Linked DNA regions of Xenopus tropicalis. The protein of the gene in region 1 purifies or fractionates together with the protein of each later gene. This does not show direct contact. Links are inferred from orthologs where the notes say so. Each region holds a gene or a part of one and is shown on either strand. Other genes may lie near its edges.

Region 1 (3,755 bases):
AGGATTTCATAGTTTAAAACAAAATAATTAGTTAATAGAGATACAGACATTTACAAACAAATTTATAGAAGAGCCAAGAGCAAGTTAACACCTGTTCCATCAAATCAATACTTCTACAAGCTTGAAACACAATGGGCCTTATTTATGGATGATGGACAAAATAGGCACTTTGCATTTGAGGGCTAAGGGTAATGTCTCATGGGGAGATTAGTCTCCCACGATAAATTTCTGCTACAGCAGGCGACTTCTCTCTCCTTTCCACCGGCAACAAAGTAATTTGCCTGTGGAAAAGCGTAGGTGCCTCTTCATTTTCTGATGTTGCATGAAGTTGCCTGCATTAGCCTTAGTATGTTGCTATTCTCAAAGATTTTATCTTATCTGTTTTTTTTTTTTTTTTTTTTATGGGCGATGGTGATGGCAGATTGTATCAGTGCCTTTAAGTACAATGGTCTTCGTTTGGGTGCTTAGGGTGAAGACACAGGGAGCTACTTTTAGCAGCTACTTTTTCATGGCTACTAAACACCAGAAGATACCCTGCCATAGACAATGCTGAGAAGTGCCTAAAGGTGCCCATACACTATAAGATCCGCTCGCTTGGCGATGTCGCCAAGCGAGCGGATCTTCACCCGATATCCCCACCTACGGGTGGGCGATATCGGGTAGCAAGAAACTTAAAAAAAAAATACATTTGTGGTTATGGGGCAGTCGGTTCGGGGACCGCATCAACGAGCCGATGCGGTCCCGGATCCGACTGGATTTTCTAACCTGCCCGATCGAGATCTGGCCAATTTCAGGCCAGATATCGGTCGGGCAGGCTGCTCTGTTCTGCCCATACACGGGCCGATTAGCTGCCGAATCGGTCCAAGGGACCGATATCGGCAGCTATAGTCGGCCCGTGTATGGGGACCTTAAAACACATGTAGATACAATTATCAGTAAATGGTCAGCATTGTCTACTTTAGTAGCCACGACAAGTAGCTGCTACTAGTAGCTCTGTGTCTCTTCACCCTTAAACTTGATGGTATAGCCTATATTTCAATAGTTTCAAGCATCATCACTGCGCCCTCCCTCCTCCCTCCCCCCCCCCCCATGGCAACTGAATAGTCTGCTCAGGTATTTTGGGCTCAAGGCAATCATCCTATAGCCCAGAAGCTGTATTTAAACAACAAATAGGACCTCTGACAGCCTTTGGCTTATGGTGGGATCATGCTTTTTCTAGTTTAAAAAACAACACCTATATATACACACAAAACATTTTCCAAAGGTTTAAATACCTAACCAAGCAGATTTCTTTGCATCGTCAAACAACCCCTTTTTTTTATCTGAATTGCTTCTAAGGGACTCACATCCCTCTAGCAATTAACAAAAACACATCTCTGCCTCAGTTATTCTAGTTTCACCCCATGGGCACCAGAAAGAGCATCTTCTTCTTGCCCGAGGCATATGAAACTGCCAGTAGACCAAGTAATGAGCCATTTTATCAGGGGTGGCCGTAACACTGTCATTTTTTTTTTTTTAACAACCTAAGGAAAGCAGATACAGACTACATTGGAATACCCCCCTCCCCCTAACATGCACATTGTGTACCCATAATAAGGTATGCTGATGAACAAGATAAGCAGCACAAGCCACTATGTATGTGATGGGGGCTACACACAAAAATGATGTTGCAATGAGGGAGACAATAAAGATATATAATGCTACAGGAAAAGGAATGATCGAGTTATGATGTAGTCAAATCCCTTTAGCACTTTACAACAACGGGTATGATAGAAGAGCGCATTAGAAGTGACAGGAGCAGATTAGAACCTGGATATTAATTAGAATTGGGTCACGAAGTGAATGGCAATAGACGCGACGCTGGAGCGGGATGTTAGACGAGCTGACTGATAATACACAGCACACACAGAGAGACAGGAGAAAAGTACGTGTAATTTTGTATTTCTGCCGACTGGCCTGGTTTATCATCGCGCCCCTTTCTCTATTTCAACCCCGAACGAGTAAATCATTCGGCTTCAACGCAGTCTTCAACACCGTGCGGATCCAGCCCACCCTCTGCACTGCAATCAAAGCTGAAAAGGATGCTGAGACATTTGAATTATTTACCAAGATTGAGCAATGGAAGCAACGTCCGGTGATACATGAAGGAAGGTTTCCCATGATCCGTACCTTGCGTGCGCGTTCCAGTGCGCGCCCACATATTCCGGGCGGCGGGGACGCACTCGGCGCAACCATCGCTCTTAACCATATTCTAACGCTGTGAGAGTGAAGGGCCTGCTGTGATGTCAAGATCACGTGATTTGGCGACAAGGGGGGGGAACTCGGCTAGGGTACTGGGTCAAAAAAGGGCGGGGTTAATTCCTCTGGAAAGGAAGTAGGAAATTATGCACGCAAGCGGGACGCTCAAATTAATGAATGAAGTTTTCAGCTCCCTCTAAAGGCATTTATAAACTGCAAAAGATCGGTCCACTTGCGTATTACACATATCCAACTATACTTAGTGCGGAAAGCATTCCAGCCAATCAGTGAATAGATTTCTTCCCGGCTGACTGCGGGCAATTCAATTAAAGCAAGCATATGTTGCTAAGGGTCAGTGCCCAGCAGGTGTAGATTTGCCCAGTGTTGCTTTATGTCACTCAGTTTTATTTATACTGTCAATGAGCAAAGTAGTATGTGAGCAGTAACCTATAGCCAAATACAGCAGGCTTTACAAAGCTTTTAACAGCTAGGTGTGAACCCTAAAGTATAATTATTTGGGTAAAAATAGATTGGGGAAAGAGGTCCAAAATCTGTTAACGTCCAGGAAAGTTGGATGGGGTTGACTTGACAGCTCTGTATCATTGATTGCTATGGTACATTGCTGTAGTGTGAATATGACAATAACTTAGAATCCTAATTGGAGCTGTATTCAGCTTGTTTTCGTTTGCTAAGCACTGGAAACAGTTATAATGTTTAGGGAAGCTTGTAATTGTATGTCAAACAACCAGCCTCAACCTGTGGTATTTGTGCTTAGTAATAGCTCTATAATCATGGCTTAAATAATACAGCTGTAGAAGCAGGCATAGATTTGTGGAAAGGCCTGGGCCTAGGGTGGCACACTATGCTTCCACGTCTGCACTGGGTGCCCAGTGCTGCCAGTAGGAGCTAGCGACTGAGAGCAGGATTGGGAGTGGATAGGTTCAAATGAGCATGCACATGTCTGTGGCCTGTATGTGTGCGTGGGCTTGTTTCAGTGGGCTTTGGCAGCTGGCTTAAGGGTATTCAAAAATCCAGTCCCATGTAAAAAAAATCCATAGATTTGGTTTGTAAAAATAGGTTTAGAGTCCCAGGCTCTCTCATCCTCGACCTCCCCCTCTCCTCAATTGGCATATGCACAAAAGTCTACAGTTCAACGAGCCGATGCGGGGAGCTACCTTCTGAGTATCTCAACACGCCTCTTGGCAGCAGCGCCCCTAGTCCAAGACTTTTATTATGGACTTACCCAGATCTGATATAACCAATATTTTTATGATAGTCAACAGATGTTCGAAATGGTTCATTTTGTTCCCTTCAAGAAGCTTTTTTTTTGCTGCTTCTTTCTTAGCCTAATCTGACCAAGCACTTAGTATCCTGAATTCTTCCCAGCCTATTGGCAGATTTTTGCTATTATATTAAGATGTGCAATAAATTAATCTATTTATTTCATACACACTTCCGGGGGCACTGGTGTTTTATCCTTATTGATGTTATATATGCACTCATGACACACATGCTCG
Region 2 (3,655 bases), on another chromosome or scaffold:
CGCTAAACTAATTTGCAGTCTACAAAAATGAAACAAATTAAAAAGGAGGATATTGATGGATGACAGGACTGGGACGCTATCTGCATACTTCCCATTTTTGCATGATTTTCTTTGGGATGCTCCAAGTTTTAACCACAGTGTAAAGCTAGACTGACAGCATTATTTCTTATTGGCTTTAATGCAATCTTGCTTCTAAGTATCCCAAAAACACTGTGTCAGCTTGCCAGACTACTACTGTCTATAGACTTGCATTGCAAGTGTTTGTGCCAGCACTGACATTTTCCTGAAAATACAGACCAGCTATGCCAGATGAGCACTGACAAAAGCTTTTGCAGGACAACCGTGGCTGCAGTTTTACATACACCATTACATTTAGAGAAAGGCTGGCACATAAGCATTTGCCAGTAACAGCATCCTGAATCTTCTTAATGGGACACCTACACATTTGAAAACTCCATTTGTAAACTTTAGGAAGGCGATCGGCATATTCTTTCTGAAATGTATCTTTTTCTCTGTTCTTGGCATATTTTCCAGGAGAATGCACTCTGAGTGGAACTTTGGTAGGCTGTGATTTTAAACCAACATTTGGTCTTTCCGACTGCATCTTAGTAAGGCTTTCACCTCCAGAAAGATCTTCACTATCACTTGTGTTGGCTGCCAAAACACAAAAAAAGAAAGCAGATAAAACTATATCTTTATTTTTATCAAACTGTCAAGCGTCACTCTGAAAACCAATAATGCAAATATGCTTTAAATTTACAGTAAGTATGATTTATGGAAGCACAGTTCCAACTCTTTAGTCAGCCAAATAGCTGACATACATGTTCTTGATGTTGTACACCGTCTTTGAATCCCCCTTTAGGGGATTATAGGCAGGTGGCTATAAAAATACATGGGAGGGCCATTTCTAGCCAATAGGACTCCAGAAAGTCCTGGTGATTGTAGCAAGCTGGATTACCAAACAAAATACAAATGGTGTTTATAGTTTATTCTTTGTAACTGTCCAGCTATTAACTTATTATCAGCTCTCAAATCTTACATTTAAGCAGGCTCTACTATTTATTGATTGTGTGTAAAACTTTTTGCCACTATATTTATATCTGTTTTCTAATATAAATAAATTCTAAGTATAGTATCTATGTGCATTCATTTTATGTATGTGTATTTTATTCCGTTATCTGCCTGTTTATGTATGTGAAAGGGATGGCCTTGTAGAATATAAGACTATAATAGATACACACATGTATTGGTCCAGTTATCCAAAAAGCTCAGAATTACAGAAAGCCCATCTCCCACAGACTCCATTATAATCAAATAATTAAAATTTTTAACAATGATTTCCTTTCTCTGTAATAGAGAAACAGTGCCTTGTACTTGATCCCAACTAATATATAAATAATCCTTATTGGAGGCAAAACAATCCTATTAGGTTTATTTAATGTTTAAATATATTTTTAGTAAACTTAAGAGATGGTGATCCAAATTATGGAAAATCCCATTATTTGGAAAAGGCGAGGTCCCAGGCATGGTGGGTAACAGGTTCCATACCTGTACGTACCTGTGTGTCCTTCATCATGAACCTATCGTTTCCTAGGCTTCAGAGTTTACATTTCTGTACCAGTCCAATGACTTTTTCTATTGCCTTCATGATAATTCTTTATCATAAGTTAATACCAATGTGCAAGGGGCACTGCTGGTATAAGGCGAGTTTAGAAACATGCCTCCTGGCAGGTTACCAGGGGTGGCAAAAAGAGCCAAAATTCTGATTTTTAAACACTCTCTATTCTATTGATGCAGCCCTCCCTCTCTCCCCTCCGACACAAAAAAGCTAAGCACGCGAGGAGCGAGGGGGGTAGCCTGAACCTGGGCCACGAGGACCCCTAAAGTCGCGCTGCTAAGGTGTACTGAATCAAACTTATTCTATCCAGATCAAAGAACAGGCAAGGTGGTCATCAAAATTTTTTGGAAATAAAAATCAGTAATTTTCCTTCACCATATGTGCTTGCCCACCTTCATCAGAAAACTAGCAAGACTGGGGGAGCTGATCTGGCACTGTAGATCAGTGCTGTCCAACTGGCGGCCCGCGACCCCCCTCTGTGTGGCCCCCCCCACTTGTCTGGCTGCTTTGATGGCTTACCTTTGTGTAAAATTTAAATGCTATCAGTACTGAGATTAACTGCCCCCCCTGCATGGTTCTCACCTCAGATTGCTTAAACATGTTAAACCCTGAACTGTTCACACATTTTAATCCCAGCATTGTTCACACCTCAGTCTCAGACTGTGATCACCCACATTGTTCACACCCGTACCACCCCAATGCAACCACAGCCCTTTAGCAGGGAAGATCTGTGCCCCCTAAGAAGCCGCAGTAGTTCCCCATATATATATTATATATATATGATTAATTAACACAGATAATTAATGCATGGCATATTTGAAACCAGTGCTATTAGCATCAGACTTTAATCATCAGCCCATTAGGATCAGCTTATATGAAAACCTCATTTTCTTTGCTTGATCATTTCTGACAACTCCTAAGCTTAGCTTCTCAACAGCTGCTCAGAGCGCACTGAGCATGTGAGTGTCACAGACACTTGTAACAGAAGTGTCCAGTATGGTCACCCCACTATGAAAACTTTAAAGCACTGGATTATTACTACTATAGATATGTTGAACCTTTAGACTGGTTCAATAAATTCATTATATAAAATATGGCATTTCTAGCCATATTCAATTTTAGGTTTAGTTCTCCTTTAAGTACTAAAGGATCATGTTGACAGCACACCTTCCTAAATGAGTTACGAAATGAAACCACTGTGTTATAATAAAGGATAACAACACTTGAGGCATACCTCAGAGCTGCAGTAAAGGCCTATGTTATTTGCTGGCTCAAGCTAGTTGCCCTTTTATTAATATATTTTTCATTTGCTTATACTGTAATACTGTTTATGCTTTTTTCATGACAAACAAATTATTATTAACTCTTTGTTCTTAAAATATTTCTTCTGGAAAATAAACATTAAATAGTATTTTAATTTACAATTTTAATACTATTTACACTAAAAATTACACTATATTAATTACAAACTTACTTATTTTTCTTTTCTTCTGAAACACTGAAGATTTGTGGCTTCTTTTAAGTTTCTTTGAACTATTGTCTCCCACATTAACAGTCTGATCAACTGCCTGATTGGTGTGACCTGTTTAAAGAAAAGGAGAGATAACATTGAACAAATAAAGAGCAATAACATAACAGCCTAAAGATGGCCATATACGTAGCAAAGATCGTTCCCACCCTCCACTGACATTCAGGGCTGAATCGTCAGATATGGACTTAGAAACAATAGAAATTCTACCTCCACCTGCCGATTCAGCCCCAAACATAGCCCTAGACCAGTGTTCCCCAACCAGTAGCTGGTGAGCAACATGTTGCTCACCAACTACCTTGGATGCTGCTCCCAGTGGCCTCAAAGTCGGTGCTTATTTTTGAATTTCTCGTAAGAAGGCAAGTTTTGGTTGCATAAAAACTTAAAAACTATAAAAACCAAATATAATGCCACATAGGGGCTATTAAGTAGCCAATTATAGCTTTTATTTGCACCCCCAGGAACCTTTTTCATACTTGTGTTGCTCCCAAACACTTTTTCCATTTAAA

What was found.
Region 2: the proteins of sin3b (region 1) and arid4b purify together in Homo sapiens (affinity purification with mass spectrometry; 3 studies listed by BioGRID and IntAct, with this or other methods). This does not show direct contact. The link is inferred for Xenopus tropicalis from reciprocal best matches to the Homo sapiens genes SIN3B and ARID4B.

The regions. Positions count from the first base shown.
Region 1 is NC_030677.2:111,954,602-111,958,356, reverse strand, and holds the start of sin3b (paired amphipathic helix protein Sin3b), read right to left. Parts: upstream 2,180-3,755; 5' UTR 2,107-2,179; intron 2,094-2,106; exon of another isoform or gene 1,957-2,093; intron 1-1,956.
Region 2 is NC_030681.2:55,881,101-55,884,755, forward strand, and holds part of arid4b (AT-rich interactive domain-containing protein 4B), read right to left. Parts: intron 3,201-3,655; coding exon 3,093-3,200; intron 655-3,092; coding exon 442-654; intron 1-441. UniProt on the Homo sapiens protein: Acts as a transcriptional repressor. May function in the assembly and/or enzymatic activity of the Sin3A corepressor complex or in mediating interactions between the complex and other regulatory complexes.